Linked DNA regions of Anolis sagrei. The protein of the gene in region 1 purifies or fractionates together with the protein of each later gene. This does not show direct contact. Links are inferred from orthologs where the notes say so. Each region holds a gene or a part of one and is shown on either strand. Other genes may lie near its edges.

The links.
Region 2: the proteins of FBXO22 (region 1) and KDM4B purify together in Homo sapiens (affinity purification with western blotting; 3 studies listed by BioGRID, with this or other methods). This does not show direct contact. The link is inferred for Anolis sagrei from reciprocal best matches to the Homo sapiens genes FBXO22 and KDM4B.

Annotation. Positions count from the first base shown.
Region 1 is NC_090029.1:11,579,444-11,588,879, forward strand, and holds the start of FBXO22 (F-box only protein 22), read right to left. Parts: upstream 4,477-9,436; 5' UTR 4,408-4,476; coding exon 4,289-4,407; intron 1-4,288. UniProt on the Homo sapiens protein: Substrate-recognition component of the SCF (SKP1-CUL1-F-box protein)-type E3 ubiquitin ligase complex that is implicated in the control of various cellular processes such as cell cycle control, transcriptional regulation, DNA damage repair, and apoptosis.
Region 2 is NC_090034.1:55,636,615-55,645,529, reverse strand, and holds the start of KDM4B (lysine-specific demethylase 4B), read left to right. Parts: upstream 1-4,848; 5' UTR 4,849-4,936; intron 4,937-8,915. UniProt on the Homo sapiens protein: Histone demethylase that specifically demethylates 'Lys-9' of histone H3, thereby playing a role in histone code. Does not demethylate histone H3 'Lys-4', H3 'Lys-27', H3 'Lys-36' nor H4 'Lys-20'.

The DNA.
Region 1 (9,436 bases):
CAGCAGATTTGCAGACTATGCATCCCTGGGACACTCCTATATGCAGATGACATAGCACTCGGCCACATATAATATTTATGATATTATAATGTAATGCAATATAATAATACGATATTATAATTATATATTTATATTACATGTAATATTACTCACAATATTATGATATAGTGGTATGGCATCTTCTCACCCCTAGAATGGCTAAATCCAATGGTTCTTCCCTGTTGGGCTCCTTTTCTACAAGTGCACTTTTATCACTATCTCACCCAGGGTTTTAACTTTTTACTATTTTACCTCATCCATTTGGCCCGCCCTCTGTGTCTGGTTTTACTATGCTGTTTTATATTGTTGATTTTGTTATGATGTATTTTGTCATTGTGTGTTTATTATGTTGTATTATTTTGGGCTTGGCCACATGTTAACCGCACCGAGTCCCCTTTGGGGAGATGGTTAGGGTTATAAATAAAGTGTATTATTATTATTATTATTAGTATTATTATTGTGCAATATATATGTTTAATGCTGATACTGTACTATGCTAATAATATCATATATTGTATGTAATATATACCTTTTAACCCGCTCTGAGTCCCCTTCGGGGTGTTTACAAATGCAGAGTAAACGACATAAAGGAAATTGAATGACTTGACGATGGAACTGGACAATGCTTGATAATAAAAAGAGATGCTAATTATGTTATTATTGTTGTTGTTTTATACTGTTTTGATGTTTTAACTTGTTTTATGATATTATCTGTACTGTTTTGTTGGAAACCGCCTTGAGTCGCCGATTGACTGAGAAAGGCAGTATACAAATACAGTAAATAATTATTATTATTTTTGTCGTGTCAGGAGCAACTTCAGAAACTGCAACTCGCTTCTGGTGTGAGAGAATTGGCTGTCTGCAAGGACATTGCCCAGGGGACGCCCGGATGTTTTTGCCATCCTTGTGGGAAGCCTCTCTCATGTCCCCGCATGAGGAGCTGGAGCTGATAGAGGGAGCTCATCCGCCTCTCCCCGGATTCGAACCTGCGACCTGTCGGTCTTCAGTCCTTCTGGCACAGGGGTTTAACCCACTGCGCCACCGGGGTCTCCTAGTAAATAAATAATAAATAAATATAAATGCCATAAATAAATCTATATAAATAAAAATGTAATGTTCGTTTGTGGGATTAACAGAACTCCAAAACCACTGGACAAATTGACACCAAATTTGGACACAAGACACCTATCAGGCCAATGTATGTCCTTAACTCATAAAAACACTAAAAAACATAGCAGAAGGGACTTAAAAAGCTCCAAAAAGCTAAATGACGAAAAGCTAAATGACAATACAGAAAAAAGGGAAGAAAGTGGGAAGGAAGTAGAGAAAAAAAAAAGAAAGAAAGAAAGAAAAGAAAGAGGGAGGGGAAAAAAGAAGGAAAGGGAGAAGGAAGCATGGAAGCAAAGAGAGAAGGAAGGAAGGAAAGAAGGAAGGAAGAAAAGAGAGACGTAGCGAACCTGGATTTCAGGAAGGCCTTCGACAAGGTCCCCCATGACCTTCTGGCAAACAAACTAGTCCAATGTGGGCTAGGCAAAACTACGGTGAGGTGGATCAGTAATTGGTTAAATGGACGAACCCAGAGGGTGATTCTCCCCAATGCTTCCTCTTCATTCTGGAAAGAAGTGCCATCAGCAGGGTTCCGTCCTGGGCCCGGTCCTGCTCAGGATCTTGATTAATGACTTAGATGAAGGGCTAGAAGGCAGGATCAAGTTTGCAGACGACACCAAATTGGGAGGGAGAGCCAATACTCCAGAGGACAGGAGCAGGATTCAAAACGATCTTGACAGATTAGAGAGATGATTGGCCAAAACTAACAAAATGAAGTTCAACAGGGACAAATGCAAGATACTACACTTTGGCAGAAAAAACAAAATGCGAAGATACAGATTGGGGGACAACGCCTGGCTCGAAAGCAGTACGTGTGAAAAAGATCTTGGAGTCCTCGTGGACAACAAGTTAAACATGAGCCAACAATGTGATGCGACGGCAAAAGAAGGCCAATGGGATTTTGGCCTGCATCAATAGGAGCCTAGTGTCTAGATCCAGGGAAGTCATGCTACCCCTCTATTACGCTTTGGTTAGACCACACCTGGAATATTGTGTCCAATTCTGGGCACCACAATTGAAGAGAGATATTAACAAGCTGGAATGTGTCCAGAGGAGGGCGACTAAAATGATTAAGAGTCTGGAGAACAAGCCCTAAGAGGAGTGGCTTAAAGAGCTGGGCATGTTTAGCCAGAAGAAGAGAAGGCTGAGAGGGGATATGATAGCCATGTATAAATATGTGAGAGGAAGCCACAGGGAGGAGGGAGCAAGCTTGTTTTCTGCTTCCCTGGAGACTAGGACGCGGAACAATGGCTTCAAACTACAGGAGAGGAGATTCCATCTGAACATGAGGAAGAACTTCCTGACTGTGAGAGCCATTCAGCAGTGGAACTCTCTGGTGTGGTGGAGGCTCCTTCTTTGGAAGCTTTTAAACAGAGGCTGGATGGCCATCTGTCAGGGGTGATTTGAATGCAATATTCCTGCTTCTTGGCAGAATGGGGTTGGATTGGATGGCCCATGAGGTCTCTTCCAACTCTTGGATTCTATGACAGCAGAAGAGAAAGAAAAGGGGGGAAGGAAGAAAAGAGATTGAGAAGGGAGAGAAGGAAAGGAAAAAAGGGAAAGAATGAAGGAAAGAGGGAGCGAAGGATGGGGGAAGATGTAGAGAAAGAGGGAGGGAAGGAAAGAAGGTGTTGTATTTATGTTGTGTTGTTGAGGCCTTGGCCTTTGTAAGCCGCATCGAGTCCTTCGGGAGATGCTAGCGGGGTACAAATAAAGTTAATAATAATAATAATAATAAGAGAAGGAAGAAAAGAGAGACAGCAAAAGAGAAAGAAATGGGGGGAAGGAAGGAAAGAAGGAAGGAGGGAAAGAAGGAGAGAAAGAGGGAAGGTTGGCCACAGCAACACGTGGCAGGTACAGCTAGCAAATAAATAAATAAATAAATAAATAATAGAGGGAGCAATGATGGGAGGAGGGGACCCATTTTGTAATGTCTGGGGAAGCAAAATAAGTCATGTGTCAGGGGCCCTCGAAGACTGCCCTGTTGTTGTTCATTCGTTCAGTCGTCTCTGACTCTTCGTGACCTCATGGACCAGTCCACACCAGAGCTCCCTGTCGGCCGTCACCACCCCCAGCTCCTTCAAGGTCAGTCCCATCACTTCAAGGATGCCATCCATCCATCTTGCCCTTGGTCGGCCCCTCTTCCTTTTGCCTTCCACTTTCCCCAGCATCATTGTCTTCTCTAGGCTTTGCTGTCTCCTCATGATGTGGCCAAAGTACTTCAACTTTGTCTCTATTCTCCTTCCCTCCAGTGAGCAGTCGGGCTTTATTTCCTGGAGGATGGACTGGTTGGATCTTCTCGCAGTCCAAGGCACTCTCAGCACTTTCCTCCAACACCACAGCTCAAAAGCACTGATCTTCCTTCGCTCAGCCTTCCCTAAGGTCCAGCTCTCACATCCGTAGGTGACTACAGGAAATACCATGGCTTTGACTAGGCGGATCTTTGTTGCCAGTGTGATGTCTCTACTCTTTACTATTTTATCGAGATTGGACATTGCTCTCCTCCCAAGAAGGAAGCGTCTTCTGATTTCCTGGCCACAGTCTGCATCTGCAGTCATCTTTGCACCTAGAAATACAATGTCTGTCACGGCCTCCACATTTTCTCCCTCTATTTCCCAGTTGTCAATCATTCTTGTTGCCATAATCTTGGTTTTTTTTTTACGTTTAGCTGCAACCCGGCTTTTGCGCTTTCTTCTTTCACCTTGATTAGAAGGCTCCTCAGCTCCTCCTCGCTTTCGGCCATCAGAGTGGTGTTATGTGGCGGGTACAGCTAGTAAATAAATAAGTAATAATAGAGGGAGCAATGATGGGAGGAGGGGGCCCATTTTGTAATGTCTGGCGAAGCAAAAGAAGTCTTGTGTCAGAGGCCCTCCAAGACTGCCATATAACCCAGAATATCAAGGACGAAAATACCACAATCTCTGCTTTGAACTGGGTTATCCACACTGCCATATATCCCAGTTCAAAGCAAATAATGTGAGATTTTATTCAGCTGAGTGGATGGAGCCGCTTGTTTGATCTCCTCCCCTGCCTCAAAGCGCCTCGAGGCTTCAGAGTCAGGAGTAGGCCTCAAGCCTCGGCCTCGCTTGCTGTCGCGCGCCCAGGGAAAGCGGCGGCGGCGGAGGAAGCCCTGGCCACTCACCAGGCCGCCCTCAGCAGCGCCTTGGCGGGCAGGAAGCCCAGGACGCGCTCCACCACCTCCGCCAAGCTGCTCAGCACGAGCACGCCGCCGCCTCCTTCTCCTCTCGCGCAGGCCTCCATCGCCCACCAAATCCACAGGCCTTCCCCGTTGCCCCGGCAACCTCTCCCGGAAGCGGAAGGCCGCGCCTGCGCAATACGTCCCTCCTCCTCGTGATGGACACCGGCGGGGGCGTGGCTTGGAGCTCACGAGGCGGGATTGGTTCCTTCCCAAACCCTGCCTCTTGGACTTCATTTCCCAGCAGCCCTTGCGGGGCTTGGCTTTTGTTGAGGTTGAGTCCCCGAAGGGAGAGAGGAGGGCGGAGTACAAACAAAGCAAAACAGCAGAGAGGAAACAACCAGGCACATCTTAACACCTCTCAACAGAACATTTTCCCAGGCTCAGCCAGGCCTTCAAATGCTAATGAAGGTGGTCAGTTGAAACATTCACACCTAGCTTCAGCAGGGAAGAGCTCCTTGCCCCACCCCAGCCATTCCACAGATATATAAACCCATTGTTCTAATTCCCACAGACCTCACTACCTCTGAGGAAGCTTGCCATAGATGCAGGCGAAACGTCAGGAGAAATGCCTCTAGAACATGGTCCTGTAGCCCGAAAAAACCCACAAGAACCTAAAGCTTTATTATTTTAATACATTATTATTATTCTAATAATAATGTGCTATTCTAATATATATTTTATATACATATAATATATATATATTAGAATAGCACATTATTATTAGAATATACATATACATATAATAGGAGGCCCCGGTGGTGCAGTGGGTTAAAGCACTGAGCTGCTGAGCTTGTTGATCAAAACGTCGCAGGATCGATTCCGGGGAGCGGCGTGAGCTTCCGCTGTCAGCCCTAGCTTCTGCCAACCTAGCAGTTCGAAAACATGCAAATGTGAGTATTTATTTATTATTTATTTATTTACTGTACTTGTATACTGTCGTTTCTCAGCCTAGCTGGCGACTCAACGCGGTTTACAAGATACACAATCCACAGTATACAATTTAAAAACCATAAAAAACATAATACACAATGTTGACACATAAATCACTATTCAATGCATCTCTTAACTAAAATCGTGGTCCAGTTTCGTCATCCATATTACCAATCTTTAATCATCCCATTCATTGCACCGAGTTAACCAAATGCCTGCTCGAACAGTAGATCAATAGGTACCGCTCCGGTGGGAAGGTAACGGCGCTCCATGCAGTCATGCCGGCCACATGACCTTGGAGGTGTCTACGGACAACGCTGGCTCTTCGGCTTAGAAATGGAGATGAGCACCACACCCCAGAGTCAGACATGACTGGACTTAATGTCAGGGGACTACCTTTACCTTTACTAATATAATATAGAATATTATATTATTATTATTATTATATTATATTGTATATACACATAATATTTATATTATAATGGTATGCAATATAATATTAAGATAAAATAAGGTATTATTTTAATACATTATTATTATTCTAATAATAGTGTGCTATTCTAATAATATAATGTAATATATTATATTCTATATTGTATATTCTATACGTAATATTTATAATATTATAATGTAATGCAATATAATAATAAGATAAAATAATAATAAGGTTTTAATACATTATTATTATTCTAATTTTTTTTTTGCTGTTTCAGGAGTGACTTGAGAAACTGCAAGTTGTTTCTGGTGTGAGAGAATTGGTCGTCTGCAAGGACATTGCCCAGGGTGTTTTGATCTTTTACCATCCTTGTGGGAGGCTTCTCTCATGTCCCCGCATGAGGAGCTGGAGCTGATAGAGGGAGCTCATCCATGCTCTCCCCGGATTCGAACCGGCAACCTGTGGGTCTTCAGTCCTACCAGCACAGGGCTTTAACCCTCTGCGCCACAAGAGGCTCCTATAATAATAATAATAATAATAATAATAATAATAATAATAATAATAATAATAATGTGCTATTCTAATAATATATTCTATATTGTATATACATATAATATTTATAATATTATAATGTAATGCAATATAATCTATATAAATAAAAATGTAATGTTCGTTTGTGGGATTAACAGAACTAAAAAACCACTGGACGAATTGACACCAAATTTGGATACAAGACACCTAACAACCCAATGTATGTCCTTCACTCAAAAAAATTGATTTTGTCATTTGGGAGTGGTAGTTGCTGGGATTTATAGTTCATCTACAATCAAAGAGCATTCTGAACCCCACCAACGACGGAATTGAACCAAACTTAGCACACAGTCCTCCCCCAAAAGAAAATACTGGAAGGGTTTGGTGGGCAGTGTCCTTTGGTTTTGGAGTTGTAGTTCACCTACATCCAGAGATCACTCTGGACTCAAATAATGATGGATCTGGACCAAACTCTACACGAATACTCAATATGCCCAAATGTGAACACTGGTAGAGTTTGGGGAAAATAGAATCTTGACATTTGGGAGTTGTAGTTGCTGGGATTTATAGTTCACCTACAATCACAGAGCATTCTGAACCCCACCAATGATAGAATTGGGCCAAACCTCCCACACAGAATCCCCATGTGGGCCACAGCAACACATGGCAGAGGACGGCTAGTACTACTAATAATATATTATAATTATATATTTTATATTGCATGTAATATTACTAGGCAAAACATCAGGAGAGAATGTTTCTTGAACATGCCCAGATGGCCCAGAAAACTCACAGCAACCCAGTGATTTCATCCATGAAAGCCTTTGATAATACAATAATTCACAATAATGTACATTGGATGTTTTTGGTTCCACTCTCTGTGGTCATTAATCAGGATTGGACTTCAGCTTTTCACAGTTGACAGGCCTAACTCTGAGCATGCTTTCCCTCATCTCCAAAATATCAGCCACGTTAATATTTTTTAAAAATACCATACCAAGCAATCAAAAGCAGACACTCTCCAGAGAAAAACAGAATTCTTAATTCTTTATTCATAAACTTGATGCAAGTTTACAGATTGACCGTACACTGCTAAATAATTCTGCAATGAAAATGAAACTCGATAGAAGGAAGGAAGGAAGGGAAAAAAGAAAAACGCAAGCCGAGTGTGCACCCGTGGTTCTGCGTAGTCATTAGGAGATGGAAGGATCCCGTAAAGCACTCCAGGAGTTTTCTCGCCTCAGCTGTAGAAACGCAAGACTTGGCTTCTGACTTAAGGCTGCTCGAGAAGGGGTTTAGGGAGGAATCGTATGTACAACCAAATACGTGAGAAATTGGGGGGGGGGGGGGGGAGAAATGTCATCTCTATCTCACCTCTAAAAGACTGCACATTTTTAGGCCAAATATTCTCATTTTCTGGATTTTTTTTTTTAAATAATAATAATAGAACAGGACATGAGACCGAATGGTCCGAAGCCAAAAAGAAAAAGAAAACACCTTTATTTACTTATGTAAAGGGGCCAGAGCGAGCCAAGAAAAATCTGGACTTCTACAAAACACAAATGTGTACACCAGGCAAGGGCACATTTGGCCCCTCTGGGTGTTTTAGACTCCAACTCCCACCATTCCTGGCAGCCTCAGGCCCCTTCTTTTCCCGTCAGCTGCTTAAGCACTGAGCTATTGACTGCAGTCACAAGATTTAGAAAACGTCCTGCATACAAAACTGCCATTCAAGCAAATATCCAGGCTGACCTAACATTGGTTATGGGCCCAACACTCAGCTTAAGCAACTGAGAGGGGAAAAGGAAAGGGCCTGAGGCTGTTAGGAATGGTGGAAGTTGAAGGCCAAAACATCTGGAGGGTCCAAATTTGCCCATGCCTGATCTACACACTGACTTAACCATGGTTATGGGCCCAGCACTCAGGTTAAGTGGTTGTGGGGGGAAAGGAAAGGGCCTGAGGCTGTTAGGAATGGTGGAAGTTGGAGTCCAAAACATCTGGAGGGCCCAACTTTGCCCATGCCTGGTCTACATACTGACCTAACATTGGTTATGGGCCCAGAACTCAGCTTAAGAGACTGGAAGTCCCAAGTTTGCCCATTCCTGGTCTACACACTGATTTAACCATGGTTATGGGCCCAGCACTCAGCTGAAGAGACTGGAAGTCCCAAGTTTGCCCATTCCTGGTCTACACACTGACCTAACATTGGTTATGGGCCTAGCACTTTGCCCAACTTTGCCCATGCCTGGTCTACACACTGACTTAACATTGGTTATGGGCCCAGAACTCAGCTTAAGAGACTGGAAGTCCCAAGTTTTCCCATTCCTGGTCTACACACTGATTTAACCATGGTTATGGGCCCAGCACTCAGCTTAAGAGACTGGAAGCCCCAAGTTTGCCCATTCCTGGTCTACACACTGACTTAACCATGGTTATGGGCCCAGCACTCAGCTTAAGCGGCTGTGGGGGGGAAAGGAAAGGGCCTGAGGCTGTTAGGAATGGTGGGAGTTGAAGGTCAAAACATCTGGAGGGAGGGCAAGTTTGCCCATGCCTGGTCTACACACTGACTTAACCATGGTTATGGGCCCAGCACTCAGGTTAAGTGGTTGTGGGGGAAAAGGAAGGGGCCTGAGGCTGTTAGGAATGGTGGGAGTTGAAGGCCAAAACATCTGGAGGGCCCAACGTTGCCCATGCCTGGTCTACACACTGATTTAACCATGGTTATGGGCCCAGCACTCAGCTTAAGAGACTGGAAGCCCCAAGTTTGCCCATTCCTGGTCTACACACTGACTTAACCATGGTTATGGGCCCAGCACTCAGCTTAAGTGGTTGTGGGGGAAAAGGGGCTGAGGCTGTTAAAAATGGTGGAAGTTGGAGTCCAAAACATCTGGAGGGAGGGCCCAACTTTGCTCATGCCTGGTCTACACACTGACCTAACATTGGTTATGGGCCCAGCACTCAGCTTAAGCGGCTGACGTGGAAAAGGAAAGGGCCTGAGGCTGTTAGGAATGATGGAATTTGAAGTCCAAAGCAACTGAAGGGCCCAACTTTGCCCATGCCTGGTCTACACACTGACCTAACATTGGTTATGGGCCCAGCACTCAGCTTAAGCAGCTGAGGGGGGAAAGGAAGGGGCCTGAGGCTGTGAGGAATGGTGAAACTTGAAGTCCAAAACATCTGGAAGGTCCACGTTT
Region 2 (8,915 bases), on another chromosome or scaffold:
AGAATCGTCGAGGGCTCAAGCCAGCACTTTGAATTATTCTCAGTAGCAGACTGGCAGCCAGCAGAGCTGATGCAACAGGGGGGTTCTGTGCTCCCTTTATGCTGCTCTGGTGAGCAATCTGCCTGCTGCTTGTTGGACTACTTGAAGCTTCTGAACAGTCTTCAAAGGCAGTCTCATGTAGAACACATTGCAGTAGTCTATTTGAGATGTAACAAGAGCATGGACTGCCGTGGCCAAGTCAGGCTTCTCAACGTATGGGTTCAGCTGGCGCACAAGTTTTAATTGTGCAAAAACTCCCCTGCCACTGCCAAAATCTGGGGTTCCAGGCTCAGCTGACTCCAGAACTCCCAAGCTGCGAACCTGTGACTTCAGGGGGAGTGTAACCCTGTCCAGCACAGGCTGTAACCCTATCCCCTGTTTGGCCTTACAACTGACCAGGAGTAACTCTGCCTTATCTGGATTCAGTTTCAATTTGTTTGCCCTCATCCAGACCGTCACAGCCGTCAAGCACCGGTTCAGGACCTGAACTGCCTCCTTCCCCTGCTTTCTTTCATACACCTTCCTCCCTCTTCTATCTTTCCCTTTCCTTCCCTCCTTTTTTCTCACCCACCTTCTCCCTTCTCCCTTGATTTCCCTTCCCTTCTTTCCTTCCCTTATAACAACAACAACAACTTTACTTATATCCTGCCCCATCTCCCCAAGACAACAACAATGCAAACAAGAACAACATAAAATATACAACAATAACCTCAATCAATACAATGTGTGGTAGTAAAACATAACATTATACCTTTTCCCTTTTCCATTCCGCCCCCTCCCTTCCTCCTTTTTCTTTCTTTTCCCATTCTTTCCCTTCTTTTTCTCTTCCCTTTCCCCCTTTTCCAGCTCTGGCACAATGTCTCCAGGGCAACATGGCCCTCTTTTGTGGCTCTTTTCCTTTCTCCCTTCCTTTCATCCTCCCTTCATACACAGGGCACCTTGATTTGACAGTGACTTCACCAGAGGGCCACTTCACCTAACCACAGCCAATCCAGTGACTTCACAATCGTACATTGAAATATAAAAGGCCAGTGACTTCAGAGGGTTGATTCACTCAGCTGCAGCCAATCCAGTGACTTCACAGAGGGCCACTTCACCCATCCACAGCCAATCCAGTGATTTCAGAGGGCCACTTCACCTAGCCAAAGCCAACCCAGTGACTTCACAAAGGGCCAGGTCGTCTATTTTATTTATTTATTTATTTATTTATTTGCTTCATTTCTATACCGCATTTTTCAGCCCTTAACAGGCGACTCAATGCGGTTTACAGTGCAATTAAAACATAACAATGCAACAACAGGATCAACAACATCGATCCACAACAATTAACAATCAGACAAGACAAATCAACAAACAAAATATATAACGCCTCAGTTGAAATCAGATCTGTTCTCATAGTCCTTGTGCCGTTCCTATGTTCCATTTACCGTCTTCCTTGATTGGTTGCATTGCTTAGCCAAACGCTTGTTCATAAAGCCAGGTCTTGACCATTCTCCGAAACGTCAGCAACGAAGGTGCCTGTCTGATGTCTGCCGGCAAGGCATTCCATAGCCGAGGGACCACCACTGAGAAGGCCCTGTCTCTCGTCCCCGCCAAGCGCGCCTGTGACGCAGGCGGGATCGAGAGCAGGGCCTCCCCAGACGATCTTAATGTTCTAGTCGGTTCATAGGTGGAGATGCGTTCGGAGAGGTAAGCGGGGCCAGAACCGTTTAACCACAACCAATCCAACGACTTCACAAGAGGGCCACTCCAGCCAGCCACTGCCAATCCAGTGACTTCACAAAAGGGCCACTTCACCCAGTGACAGCCAATTCAGTGATTTCACAAGAGGACCATTTCACCCATCCACAGCCCATCCAATGATTTCACAGAGGGCCACTTCACCTAGCCAAAGCCAATCCAGTGACTTCACAGAGGGCCACTTCAACCAGCCACAGCCAACCCAGTGACTTCAAAAAGGGCCAGGTCGTCTAACCACAGTCAATCCAGTGACTTCACAAGAGGGCCACTTCACCCAGCCACAGCCAATCCAGTGATTTCACAGAGGGTCACTTCACCTAGCCAAAGCCAATCCAGTGACTTCAGAAAAGGGCCACTTCACCCAGCCACAGCCAATCCAGTGATTTCACAGAGGACCACTTCACCTAGCCAAAGCCAATCCAGTGACTTCACAAGAGGGCCACTTCACCCAGCCACAGCCAACCCAGTGGCTTCACAAAGGGCCACTTCACCCAGCCACAGCCAACCCAGTGGCTTCACAAAGGGCCAGGTCATCAAACCACAGCCAATCCAGTGACTTCACAAGAGGGCCACTTCACCCAGCCACAGCCAATCCAGTGATTTCACAGAGGGTCACTTCACCTAGCCAAAGCCAATCCAGTGATTTAAAAAAAGGGCCACTTTACCCATCCATAGCCAATCCAGTGATTTCACAGAGGGTCACTTCACCTAGCCAAAGCCAATCCAGTGACTTCAGAAAAGGGCCACTTCACCCAGCCACAGCCAATCCTGTGATTTCACAGAGGACCACTTCACCTAGCCAAAGCCAATCCAGTGACTTCACAAGAGGGCCACTTCAACCAGCCACAGCCAACCCAGTGACTTCACAAAGGGCCAGGTCGTCTAACCACAGCCAATCCAGTGACTTCACAAGAGGGCCACTTCACCCAGCCACAGCCAACCCAGTGACTTCACAAAGGGCCAGGTCGTCTAACCACAGCCAATCCAGTGACTTCACAAGAGGGCCACTTCACCCAGCCACAGCCAATCCAGTGATTTCACAGAGGGTCACTTCACCTAGCCAAAGCCAATCCAGTGATTTAAAAAAAGGGCCACTTTACCCATCCACAGCCAATCCAGTGATTTCACAGAGGGTCACTTCACCTAGCCAAAGCCAATCCAGTGACTTCAGAAAAGGGCCACTTCACCCAGCCACAGCCAATCCTGTGATTTCACAGAGGACCACTTCACCTAGCCAAAGCCAATCCAGTGACTTCACAAGAGGGCCACTTCAACCAGCCACAGCCAACCCAGTGACTTCACAAAGGGCCAGGTCGTCTAACCACAGCCAATCCAGTGACTTCACAAGAGGGCCACTTCACCCAGCCACAGCCAATCCTGTGATTTCACAGAGGACCACTTCACCTAGCCAAAGCCAATCCAGTGACTTCACAAGAGGGCCACTTCACCCAGCCACAGCCAACCCAGTGACTTCACAAAGGGCCAGGTCGTCTAACCACAGCCAATCCAGTGACTTCACAAGAGGGCCACTTCAACCAGCCACAGCCAACCCAGTGACTTCACAAAGGGCCAGGTCGTCTAACCACAGCCAATCCAGTGACTTCACAAGAGGGCCACTTCACCCAGCCACAGCCAATCCTGTGATTTCACAGAGGACCACTTCACCTAGCCAAAGCCAATCCAGTGACTTCACAAGAGGGCCACTTCACCCAGCCACAGCCAACCCAGTGACTTCACAAAGGGCCAGGTCGTCTAACCACAGCCAATCCAGTGACTTCACAAGAGGGCCACTTCACCCAGCCACAGCCAATCCTGTGATTTCACAGAGGACCACTTCACCTAGCCAAAGCCAATCCAGTGACTTCACAAGAGGGCCACTTCACCCAGCCACAGCCAATCCTGTGATTTCACAGAGGACCACTTCACCTAGCCAAAGCCAATCCAGTGACTTCACAAGAGGGCCACTTCACCCAGCCACAGCCAACCCAGTGACTTCACAAAGGGCCAGGTCGTCTAACCACAGCCAATCCAGTGACTTCACAAGAGGGCCACTTCACCCAGCCACAGCCAATCCTGTGATTTCACAGAGGACCACTTCACCTAGCCAAAGCCAATCCAGTGACTTCACAAGAGGGCCACTTCAACCAGCCACAGCCAACCCAGTGACTTCACAAAGGGCCAGGTCGTCTAACCACAGCCAATCCAGTGACTTCACAAGAGGGCCACTTCACCCATCCACAGCCAACCCAGTGACTTCACAAAGGGCCAGGTCGTCTAACCACAGCCAATCCAGTGATTTCACAGAGGGCCACTTCACCCATCCACAGCCAATCCAGTGACTTCACAAAAGGGCCACTTCAGCCAGCCACAGCCAATCCAGTGATTTCACACACCAACAAATGCTAATTAAGGTCATAGACCAGCATAAGGAGAGAGGTTTAGAGACTCATAAAAGCGTTGTACATTGAAATCTAAACGGCCAGTGACTTCAGAAGACCATTTCACCTAACATACAGCCTTGGTACAAACTGAGAATATATATGTGTGTGTGTTTAAATCTATTGAAGGGCCTTTACAGGTCCTGAAGGGCCTTGAAATCGATTGGGCTGCCCCACCAACTTAGACTTGGCACATGTTGCCTTCCCTACTCTTCCATTTGAAAAGCCCCCTCCTCTTTCTGCTGCTGTGCACATCCTCACGTACACACTTTCCAAGCCATTCTCTGCAATTGGGCATCGAAGGGAAACGGTGTGCGCACGCGCGGTCTTGGACCCCCTCCCTTCGTTCCGCCCACCTCCTTTATCAGCGGCCCAATCGCAAAAGTCCTACCGTGCCTTCCCGTTGTTTCAATCTTAAACCGCGCTCCCATTGGCTGGGGGCGGGCGAAGGCCAACCAATTCCGGAAAAGAAAAAAAAAACACAACAACCGCTCTTTAATCCGAGGTGGAAAAGAGGAGAAGGCATTGGATTGGCGGAGAGCCCTGCCACTCTTAATACTAGGGGAGAGGATTGGCTGGCGGGGCGCGGCGGGCCAATGGGAGGCGGAGGGGGCGGGATCTACGCGCGGCGCCCCTCCCCTTTCGGGCTTTTTGCCTTTTCTCGCTTTCTCTGAGGGGATTCGTTGAAGCGACGACGACGAGAAAGAGGCCGCGGACTGGTAAGGCCTTCCTGGGCCAGGTTTGAGGGGACAACTCGAGGCGAAGGCTACGTATTTTACCTCAGGGAGGCGAAGGGGGCGGTTAGGGTCGTGCCACACGGCACCGTTGTCGCGCTACCGTCCCGCTTTAAGTGTCATGGCGGCCTACTGAGGAAATTGGCCGCTGAGGGGGAGGGGCCCCCTTTGAATGGCAAGTGCGTCGCCCTGGGACTGGCATAGTGTTGTATTCCTTTGTATCACAAAGTTAGAAGGGATCCTCCAAGGCCATCCAGTCCGACCCCCTTTTGCCAGGCAGGAAAGCCCTCCCGGCAGATGGCCATCCAGCCTCATAGGCACCATCAAGTTCAGGGAGAGAACTAGGGCGGCAGAACCCGAGAGTCGAGCCGTTTCTTCCATAAAGGAACACAATCAAAACCCTCCAGAGGGATGGCCATCGACCCTCATAAGCACGTTCTTGAAGCAATAGGGCTATCGAGTCACAGAATCATAGAATCCTAAGGTTGAAAGGGACCTCAAACCAACTCTATTTTGCCATTCAGGATACAATCAAAGTCCTCCCGACAGATGATCATTCAGCCTCCTAGACAGCAGTAGGTTCTTTGAGCAATATGGCTCTAGGATCATAGAATCCTAGAGCTGAGAGGGATCGCAAATGCCATCCAACCCAACCCCCTTTTGCCATGCAGAAAAACACAATCCAATCCTACCGTACACATGGACATTCAGCTTCATAGACATTAAGTTCATGTAGAAACAAGGCTATTGAATCACAGAATCATACAATCCTAGAGTTGAAAGGGGCCCCAAACCAATTATCTTGCATTCAGGACACAGTCAAAGTCTTCCTGACAGATGGACATCCAGCCTCATAGAAATCAGCAGGTTCTTGGAGCAATAGGGCTATCGAAACACAGAATAGTAGAATCCTAGGGTTGAGACACTCCAAGCCAACTATTCTGATGTTCAGGAGCCCTCCCGACAGATGGCCATCCAGTCTCATAGGTATTGGAAGGTTCGTGGGGAAATAGGGCTATAGAATCATAGAATTCTAGAGCTGGAAGGGATCCTAAAGGACCATCTATCCCAATCCCCTTATGTCATGCAGGAAAAACACAATTTGATCCCACCTGACAGATGACCATCCAGGCTCATAGACATTAAAAGGTTCATGGAAAAATAGGGCTATAGGATTATAGAATCCTAGAGCTGGAAGGGATCCCAAGGGCCACCCAGTCCAACCCCCTTCTCCTGTAAAACCCAATCAAAGCCCTCCCAACAGCTGGCAGTCTAGTATCATAGACATTAGAATGTTTATGGAGAAAAAGGACTATAGAATCACAGAGCTGGAAGAGACCTTGAGGGCTGTCCAGTCCAACTCTCAGTCCAACTCCCTTCTAAAGAAGGACACAATCAAAACCCTCCCGACCGATGACAATTCAACCTCTGTTTCAAAGCTTCAAAGGAGAAGCTTCCACCAGTCTCCGAGGCAATGAGTTCCACTGTTGAACACCTCTAGAAGTTCCTCCTCATAATGTTCAGTTGGGATCTCCTTTCCCACCCATAACTTCAGTGAGTTCCCAGGGCAGCAAAAACAAGGTCTGTTCCCTCTCCTTTAGGACATCCTTTGGGATATTTAAACACATCTCTCATGTTTCCTCTCAGTCTTCTCTTCTGGGGGATAAACATGGAATAATAACAATAATAATAACTTTATTTTTATTCTGCCCTATCCCCCCAAAGGGACTCAGGGCAGATTCCAACCACAAAAGGGCAAACATTCAATGCCTAAATGCAACAACCATTACAAACATAATAGCAAAAATAACCCAACATATAACAAATAATTATAACTTAACATCTAAATTTAAAAGAAAGGAGATTCCATCTGAACATGAGGAAGAACTTCCTGACTGTGAGAGCCGTTCAGCAGTGGAACTCTCTGCCCCGGAGTATGGTGGAGGCTCCTTCTTTGGAGGTTTTTAAACAGAGGCTAGATGGCCACCTGTCAGGGGTGCTTTGAATGCAGTATTCCTGCTTCTTGGCAGGGGGTTGGACTGGATGGCCCATGACGTCTCTTCCAGCTTTATGATTCTAAGAAATTAAACATAACCTATCAAATAAATTATATCTAACATAAAACAAAACAATTTACCAGGGCCAACAAGGTTAATTAGGGCATGTAAGTTAATTATTGCCAAATATGTTAACTGGACTAGCAGTGTATCCAGGGCCTGGAAACAAAGAAAAGTTTTCAATCACATATGTAGTAACAATATCATCATCTAATCCTCCTCCTGGAAGGAGTTGGAGTTTGTGGTCACAGAAGGCAAAAGGCCTTTTAAAACTCTTTCTCCCGGCTCCATAGCATAGGTAGGGTACTGGCCGTCCCTGAGTTACAAACATCTGTCTTACAGATGACTCATAGTTAAGAATGGGGGCTGAAACAACAGGAAGTGAGAGAAATCTACCCCTCGGAAGGAAGGGAACTCCACTTCTGGGGAAAGGGTTCTTTCTGCACTGAAGTTTATTGCCAATCCTTGTTTCCACAACAAGCCACATTGTCCAAAATCCAGTTCTCACAGGGACAAAAAGTGAGGTGAAATCAATGTGTTGCTGAAGACTTTCATGGCTGGAATTACTGGGTTGCTGTAAGTTTTTTTTTGGGCTGTATGGTCATGTTCCAGAAGCATTCTTTCCTGAGGTGAAATCTTCCAAACAGGGGCACAGGTAGCAAAACAAACACTATAGGGTTATTCACCCTTCCCTATGTGATCTATAGATAGAAAGGGATGGAGTTACCTTATAAATGTACCCGTTCTGACTTGCATACAAATTCAATCTAAGAACAAACTTACAGACCTCTCTTGTTCTAAACATAGTGACTGCCTGTAGTGCCAAACTTTATTTATTCTACAGCATACTGTAGTTGCGCTCCAAATTAGTCAATTCTTTTTGAGCACTAGCTGTAGGTATTTCTCCCAGTGAGCCTTTAATTTCTCTATAATAATGAGGCCCGTTATCTGAAGTCTCACATCAGAATAAGTTTACAGTTTTAGCAGATTGGAATTGGGTCAAAACTAGGCTCTGAGTACTGGATGATGGTGGAAGATGCCCTTAGGCTCAGGTGTGTTATAGGTCTTTGTATACACTCTCAACCCTGCTAAGGGCCCTTAGGGACACTTCCATCTAATAAAAACAAGCATATTGATAACAGTGAGTGTGCTTTGCACCTTTCTTTTCTTTCTGTCAATGTGGTATTTCCTATCTGTCCAGGTGTGACTGTATTGTCTATGTATTGGTTTCTCTTCAGATCGTTAAAACGGGCATCACACACAGCAGTATTAGAAATTAAAGTGTTTGAGTAATATCTTTACAGGCTTGTGTCTTGCCTAATAAAAACATTATAGCAGTCCTAAGGAAAATACAGGAAGTGTCTTTGTAGCCTCATCACCAAGTAATGACTTGATGGTAAACATGTTGACATTTATAGCTATCATAAACATTGCTTTTTTAGTGTTAATATATTTCCAAGTAGTTAGCTCTTTTCAGAACTATTCAGTACAAAGATGGCGAAAAAGCGTACACTGACAGTAGTAATGCAGGTTTGAGCATCTCTTATCCAGGATTTCAAATAGCTCCATATCCCCAATTTGCCTGTATGGGTGGCTGAGTCCTTTACTTTTTGATGGTTTGGCTATGAACAAACTTTGTTTCATGCCCCAAAGAGCATTTGGAAACTGCAACTGGTACAAAGGTCAGCAGCTAGACTGCTTACAGGAGCGGGATACAAGGAAAGAACTACCCCAATTCTTAAGCAGCTACACCGACTAACAGTTTGCTTTCGGGCGCAATTCAAGATGCTGGTTTTAGCCTAAAAAGTTGAAAATGGTTCAGGCCCAGCCTACTTGAGTGGCTGCATCTTCTCCTATGAGCCCATACAAGCCCTGAGATCATCAGGAGAGGCTCTCCTCTTGGTCCC